Linked DNA regions of Nothobranchius furzeri. The protein of the gene in region 5 interacts with the protein of the main gene of each other region in a biochemical or structural test. Links are inferred from orthologs where the notes say so. Each region holds a gene or a part of one and is shown on either strand. Other genes may lie near its edges. The genes, in order: rbx1, uba1, uba6, prkn and ube2g2.

Region 1 (5,778 bases), on a different chromosome or scaffold from region 5:
GCTGCCTTCTTTGTGTTAGCGTCTACATCAAGATGCAGAAACCCAACGCAGCCATCAGAGACTGCGACCGGGCCATCAGCATTAATCCAGACTCTGCACAGCCCTACAAGTGGAGGGGGAAGGCTCACAGGTACAAAAACGTCTCACTGATGTTCCAGCAGGTCTTGAAACGTTTACACACGAGACAACCACACACCCGGTGTGTAAACACACAACCCAGTTCTGGTGTCTGTGTGTGTGTGTGTGTGCGTGCGTGCGTGCATCAGGCTGCTCGGTCACTGGGAGGAGGCTGCCAGGGATCTGGCTACAGCCTGTAAACTGGACTACGACGAGGACGCTAGCGCGATGCTGAAGGAGGTTCAGCCAAAGGTACGGTGGAACCGATGCTTTGCTGTGTTTCTGTTTGCACCCTGCAACATTATGGGATGTTGACAGGTGGTAGAAGATCGGCGGATCTGATGCAGTTCAGTCAGAGCAGATGTTTGTGGTCCCTTAACAAGAGACAAAGGGATAAATTTGCCTTTGATTTCCTTCGAATCTCTTTTAGGCTAATAAAATTGTGGAGCACAGACGCAAATATGAGCGTAAGAGGGAAGAGAAGGAGATCAAAGAGAAGCAAGAGCGCGTAAAGAAAGCCAGAGAGGAGCACGTGCGGGCTCAGAGGGTGAGTTCTGGAGATTCATATACATGAAAGAAATCATCTCAAGACTTTATGAAATCTGTGTGGTTTTCTTTGTGGTGCAACAGGAAGAGGAAGCACGGCAGTTTGGAGGTGGATTCTTCCCAGGTGAGGTCAATGGAAGCTTCAGTGGAGAAGATCTTGCATATTTCATGCCACTGGACCCACCATGATTTATTTACCATCTTATTGTTGCAAGCTCTAAAATCCATCAGACGTTCGTAGCCGCAGGAAGATGATTAAAAAACGTGACTACGTTGCCATGGTTCCTGACTCTGTTCTCCTGCAGGTGCCGGTGGTTTCCCGGGTGGAGCTCCTGCTGGCATGCCTGGTCTCGGTGATCTCTTCAAGGATCCTGAGCTGCTGAATGCCATGAAGGTAATTTGCTGCTCAGCATCAACCCTTTGCTAGTTTAAACAATCACGTAGACCATTTATTGGTTTTTCTGTAGAGATGGGTCATCATTGTTTTTGATCCCATAGTGAGGTGTTTAAACTCCATGTTGGCTAGTCCTAAGTCATTAGCACCGCATTTGTCTCTAAAAACAAATTGTTTGGTTTTATATCAATTTCCAGGACCCTGAGGTGATGGCTGCTTTCCAGGATGTGGCGCAGAACCCTGCCAACATCTCCAAGTATCAAAACAATCCTAAAGTCATGGCCCTCATCACCAAACTCAGCTCCAAATTTGGAGCTTCCCCACAACCGTAAACGGGCCCGGAACCAAATCCAAGTGCAAACGCGGCGAAGCTGACTGGAGAGCGGCGCTTTTCGATTACTCACTGTGTTAAGTTAAGCAGGAGCTGGTGACGGGTCAGCTGGAGCGAGGTAGAAGTTGGGCTACTTTATAAACAATGATCCTAATCAACACCTTAGTTCTATAGCAACATCTAATCAAAGCATCCCGACGGTTAGGAATGATGTTGGAATCTGGGATAACCTTGTTTCAGCTGGAACTTCATTTAACAGCAGGTTGATCTTTTTTTTTTATTGAAACGGCTGCACTGCTAGATTGCCCCTCCCCCCTCGTATTAAGATATGAACGTTTCTACAGCCATTTAATACGTGGTTTAACCTCTGTCTGTCTCTGAACACAGCCGAACTCTCACGAGCGTTGGCATGTTTTGTTATTAATCTGTTATAAATGCAAATAAAAGGATGTCTGTCTCACCCTGTTGGAAAAATATTCACAATAAAACTATTTAAAAACATTTTGTTCCATTTTATTGGTTTTTAAATTAATCTGATTATTAAATAAACTAAATTAAATAAGCATGTGAGTTATTTCATTATTCAGGCGGTATGTGTAGTCCAGACGTTTAATCCAGCTGTGCTGCTTGTTTTGTAGCTTGAGGATTACAGCCGTGTCAGATCTCATGTCATTCCACGTGGCTGTAGATGCTCGTGACTTTCGTCCCAACACAATGTACCTCATGAACTAAACTATGAAGGTGCATGGTTGAGCATATCATGTGCACTTAATCTAGTTTTACGACTTCAATTCAAATGTGATTACATCCTCCTGAAGACTGATGGTTTTACAGTTTATTGAATTACAACATAGCAAAACATGTAAAATAACATCTAGGTATATGAGCAGGAAGCAAAATGGAAAGTGAAAGGTTGATGCTCGCAGAAGCCAAGGAACAGGTCAATATCACAACTAGTGTCCGTATCTGCGAAAGAAAAAACGAAAATGTGTTTGAGTCAAGCATCAAACAATCCTCAAAATCATATATGCATTAATGGATCCGACTCACTTCTGAAACTCCCACTCCCTGTTGTCCAGGGGACACACCTGTCTGGTCTTCAGCCAACGGGAGATACAGTGGAAATGGAAGGCATGCTATGGAAGGTAAGGAAATGTTTAAACGACTGGATAGCAGTTTAACAAAGATGCAAAGACTGAAAAATAAGTGATCTGCACTTGTAGAGTGCCTTTCAGAGTCAAATGACCCATATCTATCATCCTACTGAAAGTTGCACCTTAGAAACTCACATTGCAGACACCCCAGGCCACAGTGCACTCTTCTGAGGTTGCAGAAGCTTGGTTGGCCTGGCACTCTATGCCTGATGAAGGATGAGGAATTGTGTAAGAGGGCTGCCAACAACTCACATGCAATCAAACACCCCTATGTGAACTTACACAGATCCATGATGTGGTTCCTACAGATAGCACAATTATCCACCACTATGTCCCAGGCCCACAGTGCAACAGCATTCCACTGGAACAAAAATCACATTCTGTTCATAGGAAGGTAACTTAAAATGAAGGACCTCATACCTGGAAATAAAAACCTTAATTCTATGGCTCATTGTAGGGTCTCTGACATTCAGTACTAATTCAAAGTTATCTTACAAATAAAGTTTTTCAACCTTTGATTAAAAAATGCTTCCATGGACACCTCAATCTAGAAAAGGAGTTAATTAAAATCTGATTAATAAAATCCTTCTCTATCAGTACCGTTACTTTTAAATTATGTAATGAATAGGAGAAAAAAAACCTTGTCATCAAAACTACTTAACATTTTATCCTGAGGAAATGTGACAGTCATTTAAATACTTTAAATCTTGGGAAATTTCGAGATGTACAGCTTAGCTGACTAAGCTAATTTAGCATGTAGACTAAGAGATTAAAGAGGTATTTGTCCATTTTTAAATCGTGCTGTTATTGTGTAACTACTGAGAGTTTATCATCGCTCTTATTTCTCTACAAGTTCTAGTTTAGACTTTAAGGCCATAAACAGAATAATGATTAATTATTTCTTGTAGCAGGCTAACAGCTAAACACCGATAACGGTGTTTAGCAAGCTAGCGTTAGCTAATGTTGGGCTAAACCTTTCGGCGTTGCTGACAAAGTGCACCGTTTAGTTTAGTCAACACAGACAAACTTTCAACTATCGTACCTTTTTCACTTCAAAGCGCTTCTTGCTTGCTCCACTATTTGTACCGCTTGGCGTGTCAACATCCATTGCTGCTGCCATTTTGAACTCTCCGGAAGCGTTTATCTAAGTTTTACCGGAAAATAGCGTCACTTCCTGTTCGACCAGATTAAGCAAATTTTCGAAAGAAAATATTATTTTCTTAATAATTTTTGAAAAAACAAAATCAGGTTGTATTTCTGAATTGTTACCGTTGACACTCTTAATATTTGAAGAAGTATTGGTTAAAAGGTCAGGTTCCACCGAGATTTGAACTCGGATCGCTGGATTCAGAGTCCAGAGTGCTAACCATTACACCATGGAACCCCTGCTTATTAACATTTCTCTGTAAAGAATTTGTTAAATCAATAGCACATGTATTGCTTTTATTCATTGCTTTTACACACCCTTAATTTCTCATGCAAAAAAAAAAAAAAAAAACTTCTCATGCTGTATAGAAAGGTGTATCTATCTGAGCTACACACTGCGTCATACTCATCACACTACTGTGTACCACACACTCCCCTAGCTACAACGCTGCAAATGAGCGAGAATGGGGAGTTGACGCCCTCCAGTGGCAAAAGACCAACATAGCAGACATAACCTGTAACATAATAGAAATGCGGTTCTTTATACTGGTTGTTCTTTGTATATAATAAACTTTTAATTCAATTACTTGCAATCTGTCGTTTTATTTGATTGACCTAAATAATGCAAATAAATATATCCATCAGAGTATTAAAACACCTGCGTACTCAATCCTTTAATTTGCGCTCTCTGCTGGAGAAATCGGGTTGCTGCAGGTACTACATTCATACAACTTAAAAATTACGATTTTTAAATTGGCGTTAAAAACACAGTTAGTATAAAATCGGAAAATACACAATAAAACAATTTAACTAATGAAACTTGATAAATGTATTTCAGTTATTCGTGTTAAACAAGATTAAATCAATAGGCTAAAGAAGCTAGCTATCAGCCCCACAAACATTCGATTATACGCCCACTGGCGGCCACAGGGCAAAACTACATCTACGAGAGGACTTCATTTGCTTCCCATTTGGAAGCATGGGCATGGCTGGCTTCGCTAAGATTTAGAGGGATTTTTATTCATTTTAAAAATGTAATTCTTAATAGGTGATATGAGATACATATATTTAGGTACTAATATTTTTATCAGCATGAGTTTGTCAAATCAAACCCGTCTGATGTAAAACTATTAGTTCAAGACCAATAAACACCCAACTACATCTAATAAACACACACAGGGACATTCGTGTAGAAATTATTCGTTATAAGGTACAAATTTTTCAAACATGAGAACTCAATCTTTTAGCATTATTATATTTTCCCTGGCTGTCGTGAGTATTTTTCGCCCTCTAGCGGCCGAAAACTGTTACTACAGGTAGCGTTCATAAAGCTAAACAAAGCATTACACTTCCTGTAGATTCCTTCAAAACAAAACATACCATTTAAAATTATTAAGGGTTTTAAAGTGGAATTAACGGCAAAGTTAGTATAAATAACAGGAAAACTGATAGAATTATTATTCATGTTTTCATTTATCATGCTTTATGCTTTTATTATAATTAAAGATTGTTTTTCATTTACCATGTTTTATGCTTTTACCATTTGAATGCTTAAACAGTTGCTGTATTGTAAAGTCCCCTCATGAAACTTTAAGGGTGTTAAATCTGACCTAATATGACCATCGACATATATACGATGGTCACATTAGGTCACTGCATTTGAATCATTAATTAAGGTCTGATTGACCTTACCTCCTTAGGTCACGATGTGACCTAAGGATGACCCGTGGAGATCTGCTGTTCTGTCAATTGCTGACTCGTGCAACTGTTTGCTACTCATTGTGTGATTAGACACTGGAAGTTCTTTGTGTAATAATGAATGCTCTTTGTGTGAAACTTGTAACAATTAAAAACTGAGAGCTGCGTCCCCCCCCCCCCCCATTCACAATCAGCTCTCAGGCATGTACCTAGGGAGCTCCCAGCTTGTAATAAATAGAGGTGCTCGGATTCCAAACGCCAGAATGGTTTAGAGGAACTGTCAGCTCAGTGGAGACTGAGTTGGTGTGGCCTTATTCCATTCTCCTCGAGCTCAAACTGAATTCTGACTTTTGTGTCTCTTTCCTTGTGTTGTGTTGTTATATGGTGTCTCA
Region 2 (6,124 bases), on a different chromosome or scaffold from region 5:
GTTTTGCGTCGAGCGTCATGTAGTGTACAGGGGGTTACGAAAGGCGATTAACACCACGTGACCAGCTGCCGATCAGCAATCGTGAGCTCGCACGGACTTCTGGCGTGTTTAATATTTTGCTCGTGCCTCGTGAGGGTATCGCACTGTTGAAGCGGCGCTGCGAGCAGCTGCGACCCAAAATGTATCAGAACCGCTCACGGCACATGCGCAATCCTGCATCAACACCGCTCCCCGCTATTTCCCTAATAACACACGCTGTTCGTTTTAATTTCTACACGTTTTTTTTACTCACAAAGATTGTCAAGAAAGCGTGTTAGTCGTGTTCATGTCAAATTAAACTGATCACAAAACACAGATTTACTTTCTTTATTTCGTTTTCCTCATCCAAACCCCATAAATCGCTGTGCGTCCTCCTGCAGCACTCCCGAAGGACAACAGGCAAAACAAGACAAAAAAGTAACGTGTTGAGTAAAAACGGCTATTTTTAGGTCCGATGTGTTGCTACCAGACGTACAGTGTGAGCAGTCAGGTCGCATCCGAGAACTGGGTCGTGCAGTGTGAGCGCATGACTCGTGAGATCTGCCCTGCGAGGAAGTCTTACAGTTTGAGCTGAAGCGGAGTGCTTCGAGTGAAAAAGTCGCACAATGTACGCCCGTCTTAAGACTTCTCTTTTCATCTCGTTCACATAAATGGGGCTGTTGGTGTTTTTGTCCCTCCTGACATCTTGTATTTTGTCTGTGGTTAGTTTTACATTCGGGAGGAGGATCTGGGGCAGAACAGAGCAGAAGTGAGTCAGCCCCATTTGGCTGAACTCAACAACTACGTTTCTGTGACTGCGTACACCGGAGAGCTCACTGAAGACTACCTTACCAAGTTCCAGGTAAACCTGCAATATAATATAAAGACTTTATTTTCCTGGTGAGAAAAGAGCATTTTTTTTTAATGTTGGTGTCTATGGTTTTCCCCAAGGTGGTGGTGCTGACTAACTCAACTCTAGATGAACAACAGCGTTTGGGGGAGTTTTGTCACACTAAAGAAATCAAGCTGGTTGTTGCAGACACACGCGGCCTATTTGGGTAAAGCTCACTCTTGTTTTTATGTTTTCTGTTGACTTCAGTACAAAGCCAGTTGTTAGACTATTTTCTGTTTCTTTCGTCTTGTAGTCAACTGTTCTGTGACTTTGGGGAGGAGATGGTAGTATATGATACCAACGGAGAGCAGCCGCTTAGTGCCATGATCTCCATGATCACAAAGGTTAGCTTGTTCCTTTCATGTTTGTCACATAAAAGACGATTGACTTTAACAGGAAGGTTGCTGATCTGTGTCTTTAGGACAGCGCCGGTGTTGTAACATGTCTGGATGAGGCTCGTCACGGGTTTGAGAGTGGAGACCACGTCACCTTCACAGAGGTGCAGGGTATGACAGAGCTCAACGGGTGTCAGCCAGTGGAAATCAAAGTCCTGGGTCCATACACCTTCAGCATCTGTGACACGACAGGCTTTTCCGACTACATCAGAGGAGGGATCGTCACCCAAGTTAAGATGGCAAAGAAGATCAGTTTTGTAAGTGGTTAGAGGGCATTCGAGGTGCCACTGTCATTTCTAATGTTGCAACTAATCAGCACATAACCATCACTTTTCCTCTGCAGAAATCCATCTGCACCTCCATGGCCGAGCCAGAGTTCATGCTGACAGATTTTGCTAAATTTGACCATCCAGGACAACTTCATGCAGGCTTCCAGGCGATCCATGCATTCCAGAAGAAACACAGCCGCCTTCCGGCACCTTGGAGCCAGGTATCTGTCCGACTGCATAGTTGGAGGTTTAGTATCTAACGTATATTTTTGATTGACTGGCTCCACAGGAGCTATCCTGGAAGCCTTTGTAATGGCTAGCCCTGGTGATAACTCAGCAGAATGCATGGGCAGTGCCAGTGTGTATTTGATTTAGTGAGATTGGTAAATTGCTGAGCTTTGTGTTTTCCAGGCTGATGGTGAAGAGTTACTGACTTTGGCCAAGGAGGTGAACTCTGCTCAGACGGGCTCTGCCAAAGTGGAGCAGCTGAACGAAGCGCTCATCAAGAAGATGGCTTATGTCGCCGCCGGGGATCTTTCTCCTATCAATGCCTTCATCGGGGGCGTGGCTGCACAAGAAGTGATGAAGGTTGGAGGAAAATGCATAAACTAAGAGCTGCAGAATAAAAATCCAAAACCTTTTAACCAGACTTGAATGTTCAAAGTGATCAGTACAAATAAGTTTGTTAAATATTTTACATTCTGTGTCCTGTCAGGCCTCTACGGGGAAATTTATGCCTGTGATGCAGTGGCTGTACTTTGATGCTCTGGAGTGTCTGTCTGAAGGGGACGACGTCATGCTCACAGAGGAAGAGTGCTCGCCTGTCAGTGTTCAGAGAATATTAAAGTGTTTTTCACTGAAGACAAAACCACACGACTGCTGAGGAAAACCTCGGTGTTAACCTTTTTTTATTTTTACGTCTCTGCTTTTCTAGAGGAACTGTCGTTATGACGGGCAGATCGCCGTGTTTGGCACAAAGCTTCAGGATATGCTAGCCAACCAGCGCTACTTCCTGGTGAGTCACAATAGGGACTTTTAAACAGGAAGTGCCTTTAAAAATGTCTGAAAACGGTGGCACTACAGTAACTTTAAAAGTACACAGACTAATAATAATTTTGTATTTTTTGGCCTTACATGGGTTAAAGCAGGAATTGAGTTCTCCGTCGTGGCGACGGAAATCTGTCAGTTGGAATAATCAGAAAAAAGTTCAGTCAAAATCTCTTATTGCGCTCGCTTGGGTTTAGTAGTCTCTCGCTCTCTCCTGTTTCTAATTGAAACGCGCACCGGTATTGTTGAAACGTGTTTCTGCACCGCCCAAGCTGCAAAAACGCGTGCGCTCATTGCTCGCTCCCACGGTGCGCACAAACAAACTGCGCCCGCACCAGGCGCTGGGATTCTAACAGAGCCAATAAAGCTCTGATATCACAATGAGAGTTAACGTAATGAGCGGAACCAGGACCCAAATTCCCGGTGGGCCGATCTGAGGTCGGTGTTTTTAGTTGTCTCTTTGTTTTTTTCGGGCCTGTGTTCAGTCATGACGCTCTGCTGATCACCTGCTGATGAGAGGATTTCTCCTGTCAGTGGAACAGGTGAGCTGCTGAACAAGCGTTAGTTCCTAGAAACACTGTCTATGCCCAGACTAGTGACCTGTTATTTGTAATTTTATAATTAATATTAAGGGAATGCACTAAACCCACAAATGATGGAAGATGAGATTAAATATTATTAATCATATTACCATCAAATGTAAATAAGTATAACAGATAACTAATCTTGATGAAAAAATTATATTAATTTTTATTTTAATATTGATTATATTTAATTTCTACGGTGTGGATGTCTGTGAACATTACAGAATATTCAGATTGGTGTAAAGAACATGTTATTAATAACGGGTCATGATCTAAAGCTGGTCTGAGGTATAAAACTCTGCCCTGGGCCTAAAGCCCTGCAGATATATTTAGTTTCTATGAACACCAACAACAAATAAATAACAGCAGCTGGATTCTACTTTGTTCCTTAAATTGTGTCACGTAGTTTTTCAAGTTCTGCAGCTCACACGTTCATCATTGAGCCCTACCAGCTGATTGGTTCTTTTGGTATCTAGTGCAGTTCTGGTACTGAGCAGCATGGATGCATTAGTGGATTTCACTGTAGTCTGTGTTCATAATGGATTAAAGGACAGGAAAACATTAACTCAAATATGTCATTATAATGAACATGTATAGATACTTCATCATACATAGCTGCCAGCCTGTAACTACTTTCCCCCCAAAAATGCACCAGACTGATGCGTTTAAATATAAAATGTCCAATGTTTTTCCGGGGGGGCATGCTGCAGGTATGTATGTAGAGAAATGGCCCTTGTAGCTTGACTCACTGCATCCTCTGTCTGAAATCCTTCCAGGTGGGAGCCGGTGCCATCGGCTGTGAGCTGCTGAAAAACTTTGCCATGATTGGACTGGCGAGTGGGAACGGCGAGGTCATTGTGACCGACATGGACACCATAGAGAAATCTAATCTCAACAGACAGTTCCTCTTCAGACCCTCAGATGTTACTGTTAGTATCACCGACTGCTCAGTAGCTCAGATGTAAAGCACAAACAGGTGTCAGTCGTTTATGCACTACGTCTGGATGTTTATTTATTAATCATCACCAAACGGGCGCTAGCAATTGTTTAAATTAAAATATCAGAGACATCCAGACTGCTGCCGTTTTTTTATGTTGGACTACTCACTGTTACTACTACTACTACCACCACATACACACACACACACACACACAGTAGTCACATTAAATCAACAGGGTCTTTCCACTAAAGAATATGCTTTAAAACGGGCTGAACAGCACATCCTGAAATGTCTGGAGTTGTAGACGCGCTCGGTCAAGGAAATCCAACTGCGTCCAGCAGTGCAGGACATGGACCTGTTTGTCTGTAGGAGTCTGTCTTCATAAATGCATCAATTCTGTTAGGGACAGAAACGAAACTGGTTGCTGAAAAATGGCATCAGGTGTTCTGCACTGATGTGTCAACATTTTAAATATCTGGCTCAGTAAACGTCTGTTTGTCTGAAGGATCATCGAGTTGTTTCTGCAGCCAACAGTAACTCCTGGTGTTCTGTTTGATGCTTTAGTTCAGTTAATAGTTAAACTGCTGATGAATACTCCTCAATCATGCATCACTAGCAGGAAGGTGTGTTGTTACTTTTACCTCTTTAGAATTTACTAAATGTTGCATTATTAAAATAACATTCTGAAGTTCATAGATGACTTGGCTGCGTTCACATCTAGTTTTTATATATTTCAACAGAAAATGAAGAGTGACACAGCTGCTGCAGCGGTGAAGAAGATGAACCCCTCCATCAACATCACAGGCCATCAGAACCGAGTGGGCCCCGACACGGAGAAGGTCTACGATGATGACTTCTTTGAGAGCCTCGATGGCGTCGCCAATGCACTAGACAATGTTGATGCACGTAAGATGAACTTTAAATTGCTTAAAACATGCGCACGCTGATGAAGGAATGCAGTTTGGCTTTTTTTCTGTTACAAACCATCTTTTTATAGCTGCTTGTTTGTGTTTACACCTCCGTTGCTTTGCTTGTATTCCTTACACTAAGGCATGTACATGGATCGGAGGTGTGTGTACTACCGTAAACCCCTGTTGGAGTCAGGCACTTTGGGTACCAAAGGCAATGTCCAGGTCGTCATCCCCTTCCTCACAGAGTCCTACAGCTCCAGCCAAGACCCCCCTGAGAAGTCCATCCCCATCTGTACTTTGAAAAACTTCCCAAATGCCATCGAGCACACACTGCAGGTCAGCAGGAGCTCAATGATGCAAACTCCAACATGAGTGGACTTGGTGGCTGATCTTTGTTTCTTCTCTGTTCAGTGGGCCCGGGATGAGTTCGAGGGACTTTTCAAACAGTCTCCAGAAAATGCTATGCAGTACCTCACGTAAGTTACTTCCTCTGTGGAGTGTCTGTCATACTTTTTGGGTTATAGCTACTGTGTGATGTTGAGTGTCTTTGGAGTTTGTGGTCAGAGCAGCATATCTAAAAGTATTAGCTAAAAGGTCTGCTAGTAAGATTTGACTTTGGTTAAACAGTCATGAGAAAATGCAAAATGACCGCTGTTATGCTTGTAAACCTTGCAGAGATCCTAAGTTTATGGAGCGCACTCTAAAACTCCCTGGAGCTCAACCTGTGGAGGTGCTGGAGGCCGTGTACAAGACCCTGGTCACAGACTGTCCCCACAGCTGGGCTGACTGCGTCGCCTGGGCTCGCAACCACTGGCAGTGCCAATACAGCAACAACATTCGTCAGTTACTGCACAATTTCCCCCCACAGCAGGTAAATACTGGTGTCATGTCTGGATTAGCTTCAGACTTTTTTCTGTAGCCGGAGAAAAGTTGAGTTAGAAGTTTGAGTCCAGATTGTCCCCATCCTCTGATGGACCTTGTGCCACTCTTCACCTACAGTTAATATGTTATAAACCATTGTTAATACATCAGCTGCCTTTTTAGCTCAATTCTTCACCAGTATTTATT
Region 3 (6,700 bases), about 51 Mb from region 5:
TCTTCATACTTAAACCATCTCATTCAATTAACCAGATTCAGTAGTCAGTAATGTGTGAAGGGGGGGTTCAGCTCCCTCCAATATAGGCTAGAAATGGGTTGTACAACAGAGAAATACTCAACCAAACACAGAGCTTCTTCCTTTGTGCTAAGTTCACATGAATGTGTAGTGTTGGGAGTGTGTGGCTGCGTGTAAAACGTTACGTCTTAGCTTCATGCGCCGCCTCAATAAGCCTCCTGGAAGTAGTCAGCAGCAGAGCGACAGTCAGCTCAGCAACAGCGTCTGTCAGAACATCCGGGGTGTAACCGACATGGATTCCTCTACAGAAACACATGCAAACAAACATCTTATTCCATGTTGATCATACCGAAAGTTTGTGCGTTGGGTTTTATTTGTGAAAGCATAAATAGCTACATAAAGACACACATGAACTGGGGCAGCAGTAGCTCAACAGGTTGAGCGGGTTGTCCAGTAATCGGAAGGTTGCAGGTTCTATCCCGACTCCAGACAGAGAATTCTGCTGTTGTGTCCTTGGGCAAGACACTTAACCCACCTTGCCTGCTGGTGGTGGTCGGAGGGACCGGTGGCGCCTGTGCTCGGCAGCCTCGCCTCTGTCAGGTTGCCCCAGGGCAGCTGTGGCTACATCGTAGCTCATCACCATCAGCGTGTGAATGTGTGTGTGAATGGATGAATGATACACTGTAGTGTAAAGCGCTTTGGAGTCCTTACTCTGAGAGGCCCTATACAAGTGCGGGTTATTTATCATTTATCATAACTCTTCATATTTCAATGTGGACAACAGAATCAGAAAGGTGGGGGTCACCTTTTCTTCAGCTCCTCCAAATTCAGATGATCATAACCCACTGACATGGTGCTGAGGACCTTCAGGTTTGGACCTATGAAACATTTAGCATAAACTGAAAGACCATATTTTAGGTTATTTAACTGAAAGATTTTAGGTAACCTACCTGCTGCGTCCAACAGTTCGGCATCAACCTTTTCTGTCAACACACAGAGCAGACCGTCAACCCCTTTGACTCTCTGAAGCAGTTCCTTCCTCGGCACTGGGACGTCGTCAGAGTCCCAAAGCTCCAACTGCACCCTGCAAGGGTACGAACATTGTAACCAAAGCTCTGATGCAAATATTACTTCGCCAGCCACAGAATCGTTCAGAAATGCCTGAAACTCACAAGCAACACAAAATCTGTTAAATTTGTTGATTTGGGATATTCTGTTTGAATACATTCTTTAACTCACTGTCCTGACTTGTGGAGGAGCCTCAGTCCCTCAGGAGGGATCTGTCTGGTGACATACACCCGTGGCAGGGTTGACATTTCCCTCTGCACTTTAGTCGGTGCACCGCCGGAGACACTCAAAGGGGCAACTGCGATCCTCTGGAGCCGATGTAGCGCCATACGACTGCCCCACATTGCCAGGAAAGGGTGAGCCTGTAGACAGTTGTCTGTGGGATAAAGGTGGTACTTTGGAGTTTAGCGTCTATTGCGGGAACGTTTACAAATGTGATTTTAGAGAACTGGGGAGGTTCCTGTCTGACCAATATGGTTAGAGGGAGGGTGCATCCACAGTCTGAGTGATATTTCAACAAGCATGCAAAAGACAAAATTACTGAGCTGTATCTGAGTCAAGGTTTGTGTATCGAAACAGAGCCCTTTGTATTTCAGATTAAAGTGAATGTAAATAATCCACGATAAATTAATCTTCAAGCTGTTTGATTAAAAAGCACAAATGTGGTTTTCTTTATTCTACGTCAGCCCCAAAACTAGAGTCAAACACAGGTAAATGTTTTACTCACAAGTTGACCTTTGCTCCTTTAAAAAGTAGAAAACCGAAAAATGTTCTGGTTGTTTTCTTTCAGTTTAAACTGGTTGAGAAATTCCTCTCCAGCTTTCCAAGTTGTATTTCATTTCCCAGACATCTCCCTAACACTAACTGTAACAAAAACGTAATTCACACCGTATGACTAAAACAACTGGTAAGCTGTTTTAAAAAAGTGAGGTCCTCACTTTGAAAAATGTCCTCACATTGTAGGGAAAGAAGTGAAAAAGGTCCTCAGTAGGTAGTACATACAAGTACACAAACACAAGCACACACACGCACGCACACACACACACACACACACACACACACACACACACACACACACACACACACACACACACACACACACACACACACACACACACACACACACACTTTGTCTTTCAGGAGCTTCGATTAATTTTACCAAATTGTTTTTTGATTGTATTTGGTTCTCATTTTATTAATTTGAGTAGTTTTATACATTCTTTGTGAAATCCAAATACATAAATGGCTTTCCTGTTTAAAACAAAATGTGGACCTTGAAATAAATAAATGTCTATGAATGTCTGATTGTGTTTATTAGATGCAGTAGGGTATTTATTGGCCTAACTTATAGTTTTATATTTGACATGTTTGATTAGAAACTAAAAACGTCTTCTGGTAACACTTTATAAATAAATATGTTTGTTTTATATTATCTATTAATAATAAATGTATTAGAACTAAATTCCTAAGTCCTGTGGCCGCATGGACGTAATTTGGGGGGGGGACAGGGGGGACATGTCCCCCCCACTTTTTCCAAAGTCAAGTTTTGACCCCTGCTTTTTTTACCATCCAAAAACAATATTACGCTATATTAAATTGACACTGGTTGAGCTCTAGGACCAAGCGGAAAACAATTGTTTGTGTTGAAGCCTGTTTCCCATTAGAGCATACTGTAAAGATTCACACACACACACCCCACCCCACTCCGTGTCCCCCCCACTTCTAAAGTGAAAATTACGTCCATGGCCGCCAAAGGACTATGATCTGAAACGTTTGTAGTGCTGAGCTTTTGAATCGCGCGCGCGTGTGTGTGTGCGTGTGCGTGTGTGTTGTTTGAAACTCACAAAAGTGTAATCTGAAATATTGATAACTCAATAGCCTCCGTTATTTGGTAAACATCTGACAAAATATGAAAAAATTTCTTTCGACTTTCATCATGAAAAAATGCCCTATTGGAGGATTTTGGTCACGTGATTGTGATAACCCGGAAGTACTCCAAGTTTTTAACCAGTCACAGCCATTCATTTGCTGTATTTCGTCGTGCTCACTGTCAGATATTCGCGTAAGATATTCCGCCTTATTTTAACAACATTTAAACATTTTCTTATTCATATTTCCAATAAGCTCAATTGTCTTGAACAAATGATTAATATTTTGGTGATGTATGGTCTAACGCGGGTGCCATTGAGTGTATGTAGAAGTCCTCGCCACCGGTGTTGTACCGAAAAAAAGCATCCCTGCCGGCAGGAGTGACACTCGCTGCTAGTTAGCTAAAGCAGCTAGCTTTGAGCTTTTATCAGCAAGCTTTCTAAATAGTAGTACTTTGTAAGTCACGTTGTTATAGTTAAACTTTGAGTGTTAGAAGCGGTTGTTGTCAAGCTCTGTTTCCCTCTTGGGTGACAGTTACACTTAGCCACCTTGCTAAGTTACAGCAGGGCGTTGGTTTACGGTATAAACTCTAACAGCGTTTTATAATCTGCGGTTATAATTGGTGTTTAATAGGTGAAGTCGCTATCTGTGAAACGGCTGAACCCCATTTCCCCTCCCACCATGGCTTCTGATTTGATGGAGATTGACGACTCTCTCTACAGGCAAGTTAGCCAGCGATTCACCTAAATAACTCGAAACTTAAGACATGATCACCAACCACCTCTCTCCCTGATCTAACTCATCTTCTCACGCTCTTTCTTCTTCATCTCTCCCTCCAGTCGCCAGCGATATGTGCTCGGAGACCGTGCTATGCACCAGATGGCCCAGTCCTCAGTCTTTCTCAGTGGAATGGGAGCAATGGGAGTGGAAATAGGTGAGCAAGACTGCAGCTTTTAGCCCAGCAGCACTCTGGCATTGGTCTTTATAAACAAGTTTGATGTTTACACTCTTTTTTTTTTTGTTTAGCAAAGAATATTGCCTTGGCAGGTGTAAAGGTAGGCACAATCTTTAGGTTGTGTGATTTTCAAACATCGCCAATTCAATTTGATTTGTTTGTGTGCTTACTGCATGTGTGTGTGTGTGTGTGTGTGTGTGTGTGTGTGTGTGTGTGTGTGTGTGTGTGTGTGTGTGTGTGTGTGTGTGTGTGTGTGTGTGTGTGTGTGTGTGTGTGTGTGTGTGTGTGTGTGTGTGTGTGTGTGTGTGTTGTACAGTCAGTAACGCTTCATGACACAAAGCTGTGTGAGACCTGGGATCTTGGCTCCAACTTCTTTATTCGCAGAGATGATGTATCGAGCCAGAGGAGGAGGTACAGTGTGCTACACGATTGGACTGCACAGATTCTTTGTACATTTATCAGAACACAGAAACTATACATAATCTGCACAGTCCTCGTGTGCATACACCAACCAGAATGACACTTGTATGAGTCAAAGTTTGTTTGGAGGAGTGTGTTGCCAGCAGCTAACTTCAATCAAATGTCATTTTTAGCCCAACGCTTCACTAGCCTTTTCTAAAGCCAGTCCTAACTAGAGCATGAGCAGTCATGGTTTTTCTATGTTTTATATTTCATCTGAAAAAATACAACATTACCACTTAAAGATATATTATAACAAAGCTTAGGAGAAGTCAGACACTTAAAACATAAATACAAACATACACATAAGAGCAGTCCTAATTAAAAGAGACGTACCAAGGAGCTGCCCGGTAATCAGAATCAGCATCGTCTGCTTTATCTATGATTAGATGATTTCTGGGTGGTGCATGTTGCTAAGGATGATACAGTTTGCTCATTTTTTGTCTTAAAACATTTTATGAAAGATGATACAGCTGCTAGTGTTTGTGGGATGATCAATTGTTAGCTAGCTGTTATGCAAATGAGACATGAGGGTTTGAATGTCCAGAAAACGTGCTTCAGTGTGATTCCTATAGCTAGCCTTGGTGCTATTCTTAGACTAAATCAGACCCATTAGCGCGTGGTGCCTAAATGAAAAGCTTGTTTTGCCTTAATGTCTGTTTAATTCTGTATTTCAATCAGCCTGTTTATCTAGAAACAGATCATTAGTCATGTGATCAATAACAACATAGCCAACGAATCTACTCATGTTATAAAGCAAGACTTCAGTGTCAGGCCGCCCCTCCTCGTAGGCTCTTCTCGTGTTTGTTGACCTGGTTCTTCCCCTGCTCTCAAAGGGTGGAGGCGGTATGCCCTCGAGTAGCTGAGTTGAATCCTTACGTCCAAGTCGACGCATCTTCCGTACCCCTGGATGACAACACGGATCTCAGTTTTCTCAGGAAGTATCAAGTAAGTTGGTGCTCTTCAGGTGATAATTTAAATAGTAGTATATTCCCACTGGCTTGCATGCAGAAACTCAAAAAATTAGAATATGGAGTAAAAGTCCATTTATTGAAGACTTGATTTATTTAGACTGAGAGACCGTCTAAAGCCTGGTTTATGCTTCTCCGTCAGCTCCGCAAGGGACAGACACGCACGGACTGATGGAAGCGTTTTGCTCTCATAATTCTCCGTCTCCTGGAGAGTGTTGCAAAGCAATTCCCCAGCAGGACACCAGAGGGCGTAGCGCTGTTCTGTGGTATCCTGTCATGTACCGGTCCAAGATAGAGTGTCTATATTGTGTTTTTTGTGTATATAAGAGACTTTTAACACGGACATATTTGTCTCTCATTCTCCCACCGCTTCATGCGCTCCCCACCTCTAAACCCACGTTTCCTGTCATTTCCGTCCACAAATAAAACGCTTGCTGCGCATCTTTTCACTCCTCCAGTCACGGGAGAATTAAACGTTCTTGTTTTTAGAGTTTTTTTCGCGAGGTATTCTTCAAGCTTCTCCGTGTCTGCCGCTAGTTATCCTCGGCTCTCTTTGCAATGGCGGCGCTGTAAACAACAGCGGCGTCCTGACCAATCACAAGCTTGCGTAATCCGTCTCGTTCGACGGATGTTTATAAAAGTGGGCTCGACTCCGTACGTACTTGCGTGCCTGCCAGAGCCCTACGCAAGGACGGATAATGGCGTTGCGTGTCTCCGCACTGACGCAGACGGAGAAGCATAAATCAGGCTTAAGAAACCCTTTGCAGGTGTTCTGGATTGAGTAGCTTATTAGCGTGTGACACTTTGAGTCTAGAATATTGAACCTTTTCACAATATTCTGATTGTCTAATATTTTGAATGTGGAGTTTTATAAATTGTAATCATCACTATTATAATAAATAGAGGCTTAAAATCTCTGGCTTTGCATGTCATGGGTTTATATATATTTTTTATTAGTCTCACATTTTAATTGAATTACTGAAATAAATGAACTTTTGTACCATATTCTGATTTTTGGAGTTTTACCTGTACATGGCTGTTGCTCGTTCTAATGACCATGCTGCCTGTTGCCATGGACAGAATCAGTGAAGCTGCGTTAGTTCAGTTAGGTGTTAAAATGGGGAAAGTTTTAAAATGGTACAAATAAGTCAATAAAACAGGCCACTCGTGTACTCTGATCCATGTCACAACTTCCCGTGTGCATGTTTAAAATGGTCAGATTTTGGTAATTAATGTTGCTTTTTCAATTTAAAACATATTTTTAGGCTAAATTTGTTGTTTTAGATCAAGGATCATGTACGGAAACCTTTTTGATTTTCATTAATGGAAGCAATGCAGTTTGCTTGTTTTCATTTGGATC
Region 4 (6,596 bases), on a different chromosome or scaffold from region 5:
TTGATGGGCCAGATGGATGGGCCCGTGGCTGGATTGGTGAAGGGCAGAGAGCTCCAGTCTGACTCAGACGCCAGCAAGGTGGAGGTAGAGTACTGGTTTGGGCTGGTATCATCAAAGATGAGCTTGTGGGGCCTTTTCGGGTTGAGGATGGAGTCAAGCTCAACTCCCAGTCCTACTGCCAGTTTCTGGAAGACGCCTTCTTCAAGCAGTGGTACAGGAAGAAGTCTGCATCCTTCAAGAAAAACATGATTTTCATGCAGGACAATGCTCCATCACACACGTCCAAGTACTCCACAGCGTGGCTGGCAAGAAATGGTATAAAAGAAGAAAAACTAATGACATGGCCTCCTTGTTCACCTGATCTGAACCCCATTGAGAACCTGTGGTCCATCATCAAATGTGAGATGTACAAGGAGGGAAAACAGTACACCTCTCTGAACAGTGTCTGGGAGGCTGTGGTTGCTGCTGCACGCAATGTTGATGGTGAACAGATCAAAACACTGACAGAATCCATGGATGGCAGGCTTTTGAGTGTCCTTGCAAAGAAAGGTGGCTATATTGGTCGCTGAATTGTTTTTGTATTGCTTTTGAATGTCAGAAATTTATATTTGGGAATGTGGAGATGTTATATTGGTTTCACTGGCAAAAATAAATAATTGAAATGGGTATATATTTGTTTTTTGTTAAGTTGCCTAATAATTATGCACAGTAATAGTCACCTGCACACACAGATATCCCCCTAAAATAGCTAAAACTACAAACTACTTCCAAAAACATTCAGCTTTGATATTAATGAGTTGTTTGGGTTCATTGAGAACATGGTTGTTGTTCAATAATAAAATTATTCCTCAAAAATACAACTTGCCTAATAATTCTGCACTCCCTGTATATTGTGTCTCTCTACTTCTTAATAAAGGTTAAATAGTTTTGAGTTTAGTCATGTCACATGCCAGTGATTTATAAGCCAATAGAAACCTATAAATAATCTATTGCAGTATTTTTTACCATGGTTTAAAACTTTTATCTTATTATAGAATGAATATGACAAATTATCTTTTTGTGTTTGAATGCAGGCTCAATGAACAAGTACATTCAAGGAGGAGCTCACGCCAAAAGTTCATATCAGCCCTCCACCAGCAGTTCAAGAGCTCAAGATCAGTTGTCAGCCGTCACGTCTGAACCTTCTACATCACCCAGCCCTGACCAGGAATTACAAAGTAAAGCACGCCTACAGACCGAGCACAGCCCACAGCCAGCTCTTCTGAAGGCAGAGTGAGTCCTGGATCTGAAAAAGCATCTGAAAATTACATTGGAGAAACACATGTGCCACAACCGGTGCTTTTGGTGTGTGGACCTGTTACATAGTTCTAAATAATAACAATATGGAGTTACTGTGTTGAGTAGTTATATTACGTAAATATCAATCCTACTTTTTGGAAATAATAAGCAGTTTGTGCATACAAGAGAATTAAAGAGAATTTAAGGCGAAGCGCTTGCACATACTGTGTTATTGTGTTGTTTTTTGCGGGGGTGGGGGTGGGGTGGGGGGGGGGTGGGCAGGCACCACGAAGTCTTTGTGCTTAGGGCACCAAAATAGCAAGCAACGGCCCTGTCTACAACTATCCCGCAGCATTTCCTTCCTTTGCAGTTCAGCAGAGAGTCGTCGTATATCCTCTTTAAAGAGCAAGTCACTCCAAATCAACATTTTTTTGCTGATAAACTACATAAATGCATGTCTGATCGTGCTGCAGACATGTGTAGTCAATAATTCGGCACCTTAGTGCATTTTAGTTAAAATTTAAATATTCTGCCTAAAATGTCAGTGTTGCACCGTCGTCAGGTAAAAAGTCAGCACTGCATTTGAATTTAAATCTGCCGTCGCTATTGGCTAAGAGGTACACTATGATGTTAGATGGTACATTATGATGTCACAATGTCGTGAGTGTGTGTATTTGTTAGCGGCTCCACCCTCTCTGTCTGCTAGGCAACAGCATTTGTTGCATTTTTCAAACAGGAAGTGGGAGTTGAGTAAGAATCTGGTACGGGGTGACTTGCTCTTTAAGGTTCTCAATCCTTTTATTCGCTTCAGAAGGCATAAAGGCGTCATTGTGGGGCAGAAGGAGAGGGAAGACACACATTCAAATAGCTTCAAGGCAACAGCGAGAACGTCCTAGCTGAACTGCCTCTGACAGATCCAAAAGATTTTTAGTCCAAATAAAAGTCCAAGAAATCAAAAAATCCCCAAAATCATAAAACTATCAAAGGTCCAACAAAATCCACTATATCCAGCAATCAGTGACAGGAAAGAAGAGGTTTTTAGAGGAACTGGAGCAGAAAAGTAGGGAGCTGAAGCAAACTCGTTCTCTGAGTCTTGTGTCTGGTCCTTACTGGTTCTCACTGTGGATAGGAAAGATCTGTGACTGAAGACATTCATCAGGACTGGGTTAGGGCTCACCATCCTGTTGGAGCTGAGACCTACTTCATGGGTACAGATCCATATGAAGATCTACCCACGACCCTGACCTTTGAACTAGAATATATCAGGATGCCTTTATGTATAATGATAGTATTTTACTGCTCTTTGGAGGAAATACTGGCATTTTTTTCATTTAAATCAATGTAAACGGGATTAAAAATGACAGAAAGCTGCATGTTTCGTTTTTACTTGATTCTGAAGTGCACACCTGGGTCCAGCAGGAGGCAGCAGGTTCCTGACGGGGCGGAGCCTGCTCTGGGATTAAAGCTCCCAGAATGCACTGCGGCCGGCTGATTGTAAACAACTCATGAAGGAGACGAACGGATGATCGGTGAGTTCCGTAGCTGGCCGATCACTTTAATTGATCCGTTACTAAATGATCAGTGACGTTGGTTGTTCGGATGAGTTCTGGTTATGCTTCCGGTGACTGTCAGATTAAAAGCGGGTCTAATTGTGGACCCACAGGAAACACGTTACAATAAAATTTGTCGTCTTAACAAATGACCATGTTTGTCTTTACCTAAATGCAAAGGTCCAGCTTTAGGGACCCAGACTGCCGCCAAGCCAGCCTCCCGTTCGGAAACGGTCGTCAACCCAGCACCTCTTCGATTTTTACGTGCGCAACTACATCATCCATTACGGTACCTTCGTTCAAGAGTGCCTTTCAAAATTAAAGGGCACTTCCGGGATGTGGGCCTGAACATGCTGATGAACGGATTTCAAAGTTTTTGTTTGTGTTAAAATTGTGTGTAAAATAAAACTGCGTTTTAAATAATATGTCTATTTTAAAAAACTTTAAATTAAAAACAATAAACACATTTGTCTGCTTTGCAAATTTTATCCCATTTTTATATCTTTGGTACGTTCTTGCTGTGTTTGACTTCTAATTCCATTTTTGGTTCTTTTTTTAAAACACAGAAAAGGTTTCGCTTTACCTTGCTGACGGTTTCGTTTGCGGCTGCAAACATCCTCAGAGCTGACGCTGATGGTGGCGTCACTTCCTACTCCGTTTATCCACGGGCAGCAGAGGACGTTGTCGCCCTCTGCTGCCCGCTCTCCCCTCTCCGATGATGCAGTCCCATGCACGATCCAATGTGTAAACTCCATCGTCTCTGTTCATAGTCTCGCATCCATGGATGCGGACTATGAAGTAATGAGACAGCGGGATGTGTTTACAAAATCTCATGCAAACGCTGCAATAAAACATACATAGGAGAAACCGGACGCCAACTCAAAACATGAACAATAGAACATAGAAAGGAGTGCGAGAAAGAAACAAGTTGAAGGCACACGAGCAGCAAAACAAGAAGCAGAAAGCACAATAAAGAAGTCAACCGTAACAGATCACTGCACAAGAGAAAACCATATAATGGACTGGGACAACACAAGGACCACAAACACCGATCAACAGAAATACAAAAGATGGATAAAGGAAGCTATAGCGATAAGAAGACATAGAGGCGGGACTATGAACAGAGACAATAGAGTTTACACATTGGATCGTGCATGGGACTGCATGGACTGCATCATCGGAGAAGGGAGAGCGGGCAGCAGAGGGTGACAACGTCCTCTGCTGCCCGCGGATAAACGGAGAAGGAAGTGACGCCACCATCAGCGTCAGCTCTGAGGATGTTTGCAGCCGCAAACGAAACGTTAGCAAGGTAAAGAGAAACCTTATCTGTTATAAAAAAAGAACCAAAAATGGAATTAAATCTTATCCCTTCCCTCCCTTTCATCCTGATTTGATAGGGCATTTCAAAGTAATATCAAAGTTGACAATAATGCCCATTTTCACTATATTCAATATCTATATATGGGTTTCTTTCTCAAAAACTGTCTGATTTCATAACACCATTCCACTTCAGTGGTAAAATACACATCGACTACTACATTAATAAGGATCTGATGTGGCATTTCAAAATAAACCGATCAAAGCTGACAATAAAGACAATTCTCACTATATTCAATGGTTAATTTCTCAAAAACTGTCTGAATCCTCAACATCATTCCACCACAGTGTTGGAGTAGTATCCAATGTGGAATTTAGAAACAAACCATTTTCAAACCTAATATCTCATCTATTTAGTCCATAGTTATTTACCTCTTCTTACAAAAACTGATGGTCAGTCTCAAGAAAGCCCATCTTTGCTATCCCAATTGAAGTATTATTCTCAAAAACAAGTCAATACAAGTAATTTGTGAATGTGAATTTAAAAAAGGGAAATTTATAATAACTTACAGTATACAATTAAGTTTCACTTTCTCAGAGATAAAAAATATATAACTTTTTTACTTAGCTTAAGATCTCACTGTTTTTAAATAACAAAACAAGTAGTCGATGTGTACTCTAACAATGAGGTGGAATGATGTTGCAGAATCAGACAGTTTTTGAAAAAGAAACCATTGAATATTGTGAAAATTGTCTTCATTGTCAAATTTGATTGAACTTTATTTTGAAATGCCACATCAGATCACGATGAAAGGGAGTGGAGTTATAAGAGTTGCAAAGTAGACAAACGTCTTTATTGTTACATTATTTGTATGAAATGCACTTCATAAATAGTTTGATTGATTGATTGTTGGGTTAGGATTGGGAATTGAAAGTATTTTTAAAAGATTATATCATTTAAAATGCAGTTTTATCTTACACACAATTTAACACACACTTTGAAATCCGTTCATCAGCATGTTCAGACACAAATCCTGGGAGTGCGCTTTTAATTTGAAAGGCACTTTTGAACAGGGCACCGTAATGCCTTATGTAGGTGCGCCCGTAAAAATCGAAGGAGGGTTGGCTTGGCACTTGTTCAGCAGTGTACTCAGACCCATTCTCGGACCATCACCCTAGATGTGCTAGAGGTGCGTGTTTTAGTTTTACCTCTGCTTCAACACACCTGATTTCAGTCAGCAGGTGATTAACTGCAGAGCCGGATGAGCTGCTGCACAGGTGAATCAAGTGTGTTGGAGCAGAGAAACCACTAAAACATGCTGGATACCAGCCCTCACACCTCCAACAAGTTATCAAAATAAAAAAGAGCAGAATTTATATTTCCAGTTCCCTGGTACTACTCCAGAGACAATGCTCTGATTAATAATGGTAAGAACCCAAGGACCAACAGAGGAAAAACCCTCTTTTTAAAGCCTAGGGGGCGTCAAATCCAAGGGAGAACCAGCAGGTTTTACAGAGTTAACATAAACCCAAAGGCTGTCCGACGTAAGCGGATCAAACTGACTAAAAGTGTCTTAGCGGGGACCAGAAAGAGTCTGACAGAATCTGGGCTCTGATATAGACTATTTTGTCCACAAAAAACCTCAAAAATGCTTTGCAAGTCATCACAGAGGGCTCAGTACCCACTGGTGGATGAATACTGAGGATATTATCTATTACATTAAAAAGCATCTGTAGCTTATGACGTGCCGAGAAGCTTTATCCCTCAACACATGTGGAGACAGCCAGCAGAACTACACATGCACATCTCCTTATTTAGATGCATAGAGGTGTGGAACACCAGGGAGAAGGCTGTGGTTCCAAGACCAATGAGATCCCTGGTCCTCGAACAACTGAGACACTGGGAAGAATCCTGAAGCTCCAGGTCTCTGGAAGAGGACGGGAGCTTGACTCCAGCTGCAGAAAACCCAGTCGAAGACTTCAGGAGCTTCTTTTGACCTTCCCTGCTGAAAACAACAGCATAGGTGTCACTAGCAAATGTTGTGTCTCGAGGCTGGTCCAGCAGCTAAACCAGCACCAAAGCACAACGTAAAAACTACTCAGTTTTTTCAGCTGGGTTTAATTCAGGAAAAAACGGATTCTTAGAAGTTCTGCAGCACTCTCTCACCTGAGGCCCACCTGTGTTCCTGCAGTGTTTGTGCGGTACAACCTGGGGCCTGGTGTGGCCGTGGAGCTGCAGGAGGAGGCAAGTGTGGCTGAGCTCAAGGAGGTGGTGGGGAGTCGACAGGGAGTCAGTCCAGAGGAGCTCCGAGTGCTGTTTGCTGGCAGGGAGCTGCAGAGTTCCACCTCCCTGCAGGTGAGCTCCTACAACTAACCCATTTACAGGTATGCTCACCAGGTGGTTACTTCTCACATTACTCCTTCTCATCCTCTCAGGGTTGTGACCTTCCT
Region 5 (6,094 bases):
GAAGGATGGCTGAAGGCTTTCCAGGAACAGGAGATGTGGTGTTGTCTCTTCTCTCTCTATTCTGCCAGATGAGCTGATAGGTTACAGGTGTGTGAGGACATCCTCTTGCTGTCACAACCAGATGACAGGAGTTATCAGGTGATCAGCCAGGCTAATGAGATGCAGAAAGAAAACAAATTCAGGACAGTGTACAATATGTGGTGTTGCTCACCTTATGTGCTCTTATAGAATATTAATGTGTGCATGCCTCATGGTGTAGAGTCCATATTTTGCTGAGTGTCCTGCAATAATGCAGGTTATTAGTTAATTTACTTTTGATAGCAAAAACAAAACATTTAATGTAAAAGTTATTTTCCAGGTGAATCAGCTCACACGTCCCCACCAAGTGTCACGGGGGCAGAATCAGTAGCCTCCGTCATGATGTAATCACATACTTATTTAATTGTTAATATCTTAAAAATTCTGAGATGTTTTAATTTTTTTTTTTTTTTACCTTGAACAGTTCACTGAGCTTGCACTGTCACTGAGGTGGAAGCTGGAATCAACAGCAGACACCTCACACCTTGGTCTTTTCAGGGGGTGTGGCCGCTGCTCTGAGACTTTCTGGAAGATGAATTTTCATCATGGTCCCCGTGGGTCACAAGACACACTGCGGCTGTGAGCTCTAAACTGGCTGGCTATGTAAAAACAAAGAAGCAGCACATTTATAAATGTTTAAAAGAGCATAAAATCACGTGTAACAATAATCTGTAAAACAAATTAAAACTAGAAGGTAATAATAAAATGTTTACATAGAAGATTATTAAAAATAATTCACCTTTGCTACAGGGAAGGTTTCACGTCAGCCTGGACAAGTGCATTCTTGCAGCTAAATCAGTCTGACAGCCAGTGTCCTGGGTAGATTTAGCCTGAAAAAAAAAATATAAGCACATTGTTGTTGGGAGTTTATAAAGTCAGATAATATACAAAAGAATCTCCTATATAGGCGCTTTATAACATTCCTAGTGTGTGATCGTTGTTATAACGTAAAAGTCAGTCATATATGATGTGGAGAGCCTGAAATGTGACCTCCTGAGCAGAATTCCTTACAGAACCAGGTCACAAGCTGGATTTCACGCTGTAATGCTGTCTGTCAACTAGTGCTGCGTCAGTTAGAGCCACTGTTGCAGAATTACCGACTGACTAGCTAAAGGAAGTGAACCACGTCCCTCAGACTTTGCATTTAGGTAGGAAATTGTCTTTAGAAGATGTTAACACGTTTACTTAGCTTACTCACCTCAGACTGGAGCCCGCCGTGGTGGGGGAGCAGAGTCGGTGGGCTGCATCTAAATCGCGGAAGAGCCACGGTGGGCAGCCTCCCACTTCAAACGGAGGCGTGCAGAATCGCGGGTAAAATGCCCACAGAGTCACCGCAAGCATACTACACTACACCTACTCACTAATACTAAGACGATATGGAACACTAAACCCGAACTACTTTCCCAATTACACTAACAGCCAAACACTAACTAAACTACAATATCCAACAGCCAAGCTAACACTAAATAAGTATTTATAACACTAAAAGCTATGCTAAAGACTAGGATATGCTAATGCTATATTCTAATGCTGAACTACCGCTGACCTCCTACGCTCGCTTGCAAATCCAACTCCCACTCGCCACAGGGCGTGGCCGAGACGCTCGTTGCTTTTATAACTTTGGCACAGAGCTGCTACGTAGTACTCTACTGGTTTACGTAGTATCTTACTCTTTAGCCATTGGCTAAAATTTATTCAAAATGACTCAAATTCTATGTTTTCAGCTGAAGGTGGCGCATTACTGTGGTTTTTAGACAGAATTTTTAATTTTTAAAGAAAATGCACCAAAATGCTAAAATAAAGAATGCACACATTTAAAACACTATTAGACACTCATTTATACAGTTCATCAGCAAAAAAAAGTTAATTTAGACGTTACTTGCTCTTTAAGAAAATGATAAAAACATTGGATCCGCGCTACGAGTTTTCCAGCCGCAAGTATTTTTCGAACATCGCCATTCCACGCATGTACGCTGAATGCAAAGTGAGAGTTGCAGAAAATATTCAGAATGCGCAGTTTTTTGCTACCACAAGCGATCTCTGGTCCAGCCGCACATCAGAGCCGTATTTGAGCTTAACTATCCACTACATGAGCAACTGGGAGCTACATAGTATTTTGAACAAGTTAATGTTTGCACAATACGTTTTCAATTGACATGTTTGCTCATTAAATATGTTTACGATTTTAATTTATGTTAAGTTACTTGAAAAACGAGAAAAACTGATTTTTGTAATTGTTTCTCTCAGGGCTTTTATCATCTCTGGTGTGAGTTTAAAATAGAAGTGTGTTAGCACTGTGTTGATTATCCCTAATATGAATAAATGTTTATTTATTCAATGTTTCTCTTCTTTAATACGCAATTGAAGTTATGCTATTCATGGATAAAAAATCGTGATAAAATCGAAATCGTGATAAAATATTGGAAAAATCGTGATATTCTATTTTTGCCATATCGCCCAGCCCTACTAGAGCAGCACTTTCATGAACAAGAGCTGTTGCTTTTTGTCGTAATTATGGAAATTAAATGTCTGTATGATGCCATCAGTTAAAAAAATCATCCAGACATTTAAAATTATAGAGCACGCCGGGAGGATTTGGAGGGGGGTTTGCAGAGATCTTCATGGAGTTAACTAATTTTGTTAACTCAGGCAGAGATGAGGCTGAGGGAGGGATGCTAGACCTAACCTTGTTAACTTTGACAACAAAGATTGACAAAATGTCTTCAGTCTACATCAGAGTGAAAGGTGGCTGTAGGTGAAGCAGCAGAGACTATACTGCTGATGGTGCTAAACAGGAGGTCACTTCATGAGGTTAGAAGATCTTTTAGATGCAGCAGATGGACATGGAGATGAGTTCTTCCTCAAGTGCTCAATTTTTCTGCATCGGTGCTTAAAGCTGCAAATTCTGTCAACCAGGGAGTAGGGTTCACTGCAGGACCTGATCTGGTTCTGACAGGGCGTTTAGATTTCAGATCACCATCGAATTTTCTTAAACTAGTCTGTTTCTGCGGCCCCACATACTGATTTCCATCTGGTTAGATCTCGTTTTCTTAATGAGAGCACAGCTAGCACATTTTCTGCTGCTTTTGATCCACCCTGTTCTTCTGATGATGACCCAGATTCCTTCACTTTTCAGTTTAACGAGGACAACATCTGTCCTGTCAGAACCAGATCAGTTCCTGCAGTGAACCCTACTCCCTGGTTTAACGACATCAAGCACCAATGCAGAAAAAAAGAAGGCTTGTGAAAGAACAAGGCAAAGCAAAAGGGAACCCCAAGGTGCCGTTTAACCCAATCAGCAGCATTATCTCTCTTGCTTCTCCTACAGCCTCCATCCACTCTGATACAGACTGTGACAACTTTGGCGGAGGTAAATACACCATATCATGGATCAGGTATCTGGTCAGGGATCAGACTCATCTTGTTCTGATTCCCTGTCCTCACCTTTTCACCGTGGTAACAGCTGTCCACCTCTCAGCTGATTGTCTTGTTCAGTCTATCATTCAAACAGAACCTGGCTGTAGCTCCACTCACCTTCCAGTCTACAGGTGTAGTTTGATATTTGTGATCAGTGTTATTCACCCGTGTGTTTGTGTATCTTTCAGGGGTCCTGAAGACACGTGTTTTGAAGGAGGTGTGTTTCCTGCCGTCCTTAGTTTCCCATCTGATTATCCTCTCAGTCCTCCGAAGATGAGGTTCACATGTGACATGTTTCACCCCAACAGTAAGTCCACCTGCAGGCTCCGCCCCCTTACCTGTGACATGTTTAATCCCAACAGTAAATCCACCTGCAGGCTCCGCCCCCTTACCTGTGACATGTTTTATCCCAACATTAAATCCACCTGCAGGCGCCGCCCCCTTACCTGTGACATGTTTTATCCCAACATTAAATCCACCTGCAGGCTCCGCCCCCTTACCTGTGATACGTTTAATCCCAACAGTAAATCCACCGGTAGGCACCGCCCCTTTACCTGTGACACATTTAATCCCAAAAGTAAGTCCACCTGCAGGCTCCGCCCCCATACCTGTGACATGTTAAATCTCAACCGTAAATTCTCCTGTAGGCTCCGCCCCTTTTCCTGTGACACGTTTAATCCCAAAAGTCAGTCCACCTGCAGGCTCCGCCCCCTTACCTGTGACATGTTTAATCCCAAAAGTGAGTCGACTGGCAGGCTCCACCCCCTTACCTGTGACATGTTTAATCCCAACAGTAAGTCCGCCTGTAGGCTCCGCCCCCTTACCCATGGCATGTTTCTTCTGATTCTAGTTGTCCTCTCATTTAACATGACCAGTTGGTTGGCCCACTCACAGAGACCCTCTTTCAGAACCTTTAATTGGACCTGTCAGAACACGCCTCGTTAGCCAACCGTTTCATTAGCTCTGATTAGTGGGCAGATGCTGTGATGTCACAGCTCACTCTAGCTCACCCTCAGTACTGATTATAGGACAGAGGTTTTGGTTAGAACCCATCATCATGAGAACCTCCTGCTGCAGCCGGATCACCTCATCCTGAAGCACCCTGAGTAAACAGCAGAAGAGGCAATAATAATGATAATAATAACAATGACCTGAACTTCAACTGGAATATTTACTTTGTGAAGTGGGAGGATAGTTTTGAATTGGGGCTATACAAATATACTTAACTAAACTGGATTAAACTCAGTCAGGTGTCCTACAGAAATGTGGTCCAATCAGAACCAGTCCCGATAGACCTAGGTGTTTACTGCCTGATAGACATTTAGGTTGTGAGTGAGGACCGACCGGTGTGATGGTATAAAACGTGACACCTGTGAACTTGTAGAATCAAGTAGGATTGGATTGGATCAGCTGATAGGATCCAATGAAACTGGAATAATGAGAATCTGGTGCAAAAGTTCATTTATGTCAGAATTTTAATCAAAAACGTGAAATTAATCTATGAAATACTCATTCCATGCAAAGCCAGATATTTCAAGCATTTTTCTACAGAAAAATAAAACTGTGCTGCCAGTTTCATCACTGCTTGTTTCTCCTGAGTTTGTCAGAACCGGCTCTCATCACATTAGCTTCACAGCTATGATGCTCTAGCCTGGCCCGCCAGACTCCTCCTCTGGTTAATTCTGCACAGAGAACGGGTCTGGGATCTTTCCTGTTCAAATAGCCCCACCCCCTGAGAATTCTAACCGAGCCAATCAGTGCTGAGCAGTGTACGTCACACCACAACGCAGAGTTTGTCATAAATATGTCGACTGAAGCAGAGTTCGCTACGGCTCTTTCCTCTGGTCTAAATGACTTGATGAGTCTGGCAGGCCAAGCTAGAAGAAGAAGAAGAAAATATCATTTCTATAGCGCCTCTCAAGATAAAAATCGCGAGGCGCTTCACAAAAACAAAAAATGTAAAAATACAAAAAATAATTTAGAAAATGGTTAAAAATATATTTGAAATGAGCAAAAGACAGACAATTGTGATTAAAAAAAAGTAATAGGAAATAGGGAAATCAGCGGATCCTGAGGAAGGTGGAATAGGTGGGGAGAGCAGAATAAAGAGAGAGTGGTGAAGAAGGTCATACAAAAGCCAGCTTGAACAAGTGAGTCTTCAGCTGTTTTTAAAGGAATCCACTGAGTCCACTGATCTCAGGCTCAGGGGGAGAGAGTTCCAGAGTCTGGGGACCACAGCAGCAAATTATCTGTCACCTTTGACCTTTAGCCTGGTGCTGCACAACCAGTAGGCTTTGGTCACTCGACCTCAGGGACCTGCTGGGGGTGTAGGGACTAAGAAGATCACCAATGTAAGATGGTGCTTGTCCATGTAAGGCCCCATAGACCAGAACCAGGATCTTGAAATCCTAATAATGGCTAATGATGCTAGCCAAACTACGTCCATACGACTGAACTGTTTTCAACGACTAACCATACTAAACTTTACAACTTTGGTCCTTCCAGTCTACCCTGATGGCAGAGTGTGCATCTCCATCCTCCATGCCCCAGGGGACGATCCAATGGGTTATGAGAGCAGTGCAGAAAGGTGGAGCCCAGT

What was found.
Region 1: the proteins of ube2g2 (region 5) and rbx1 form a complex in vitro, tested with the Homo sapiens proteins (3 studies listed by BioGRID). The link is inferred for Nothobranchius furzeri from reciprocal best matches to the Homo sapiens genes UBE2G2 and RBX1.
Region 2: of the proteins of ube2g2 (region 5) and uba1, one has a biochemical effect on the other in vitro, tested with the Homo sapiens proteins (5 studies listed by BioGRID, with this or other methods). The link is inferred for Nothobranchius furzeri from reciprocal best matches to the Homo sapiens genes UBE2G2 and UBA1.
Region 3: the proteins of ube2g2 (region 5) and uba6 form a complex in vitro, tested with the Homo sapiens proteins (2 studies listed by BioGRID, with this or other methods). The link is inferred for Nothobranchius furzeri from reciprocal best matches to the Homo sapiens genes UBE2G2 and UBA6.
Region 4: the proteins of ube2g2 (region 5) and prkn form a complex in vitro, tested with the Homo sapiens proteins (6 studies listed by BioGRID). The link is inferred for Nothobranchius furzeri from reciprocal best matches to the Homo sapiens genes UBE2G2 and PRKN.

What each region holds. Positions count from the first base shown.
Region 1 is NC_091752.1:65,784,771-65,790,548, forward strand, and holds rbx1 (E3 ubiquitin-protein ligase RBX1), read right to left. Parts: upstream 3,721-5,778; 5' UTR 3,663-3,720; coding exon 3,585-3,662; intron 2,904-3,584; coding exon 2,825-2,903; intron 2,749-2,824; coding exon 2,678-2,748; intron 2,525-2,677; coding exon 2,439-2,524; intron 2,355-2,438; coding exon 2,342-2,354; 3' UTR 2,209-2,341; downstream 1-2,208. Other genes in the region: st13 (hsc70-interacting protein), read left to right, coding at 20-130, 267-369, 548-664, 748-787, 969-1,057, 1,255-1,389. UniProt on the Homo sapiens protein: E3 ubiquitin ligase component of multiple cullin-RING-based E3 ubiquitin-protein ligase (CRLs) complexes which mediate the ubiquitination and subsequent proteasomal degradation of target proteins, including proteins involved in cell cycle progression, signal transduction, transcription and transcription-coupled nucleotide excision repair.
Region 2 is NC_091755.1:24,212,283-24,218,406, reverse strand, and holds part of uba1 (ubiquitin-like modifier-activating enzyme 1), read left to right. Parts: intron 1-745; coding exon 746-880; intron 881-969; coding exon 970-1,076; intron 1,077-1,163; coding exon 1,164-1,254; intron 1,255-1,331; coding exon 1,332-1,562; intron 1,563-1,648; coding exon 1,649-1,795; intron 1,796-1,985; coding exon 1,986-2,162; intron 2,163-2,289; coding exon 2,290-2,397; intron 2,398-2,508; coding exon 2,509-2,589; intron 2,590-3,981; coding exon 3,982-4,134; intron 4,135-4,885; coding exon 4,886-5,051; intron 5,052-5,195; coding exon 5,196-5,392; intron 5,393-5,467; coding exon 5,468-5,532; intron 5,533-5,731; coding exon 5,732-5,927; intron 5,928-6,124. UniProt on the Homo sapiens protein: Catalyzes the first step in ubiquitin conjugation to mark cellular proteins for degradation through the ubiquitin-proteasome system.
Region 3 is NC_091747.1:78,728,150-78,734,849, forward strand, and holds the start of uba6 (ubiquitin-like modifier-activating enzyme 6), read left to right. Parts: upstream 1-3,007; 5' UTR 3,008-3,022; coding exon 3,023-3,148; intron 3,149-3,339; exon of another isoform or gene 3,340-3,411; intron 3,412-3,588; coding exon 3,589-3,677; intron 3,678-3,794; coding exon 3,795-3,889; intron 3,890-3,981; coding exon 3,982-4,010; intron 4,011-4,226; coding exon 4,227-4,321; intron 4,322-5,205; coding exon 5,206-5,317; intron 5,318-6,700. Other genes in the region: grhprb (glyoxylate reductase/hydroxypyruvate reductase), read right to left, coding at 204-320, 824-896, 969-1,102, 1,258-1,430. UniProt on the Homo sapiens protein: Activates ubiquitin by first adenylating its C-terminal glycine residue with ATP, and thereafter linking this residue to the side chain of a cysteine residue in E1, yielding a ubiquitin-E1 thioester and free AMP.
Region 4 is NC_091752.1:62,523,733-62,530,328, forward strand, and holds the start of prkn (E3 ubiquitin-protein ligase parkin), read left to right. Parts: upstream 1-2,728; 5' UTR 2,729-2,800; coding exon 2,801-2,807; intron 2,808-6,337; coding exon 6,338-6,501; intron 6,502-6,581; coding exon 6,582-6,596. UniProt on the Homo sapiens protein: Functions within a multiprotein E3 ubiquitin ligase complex, catalyzing the covalent attachment of ubiquitin moieties onto substrate proteins. Substrates include SYT11 and VDAC1.
Region 5 is NC_091747.1:27,304,234-27,310,327, reverse strand, and holds part of ube2g2 (ubiquitin-conjugating enzyme E2 G2), read left to right. Parts: intron 1-3,683; coding exon 3,684-3,802; intron 3,803-6,000; coding exon 6,001-6,094. UniProt on the Homo sapiens protein: Accepts ubiquitin from the E1 complex and catalyzes its covalent attachment to other proteins. In vitro catalyzes 'Lys-48'-linked polyubiquitination. Involved in endoplasmic reticulum-associated degradation (ERAD).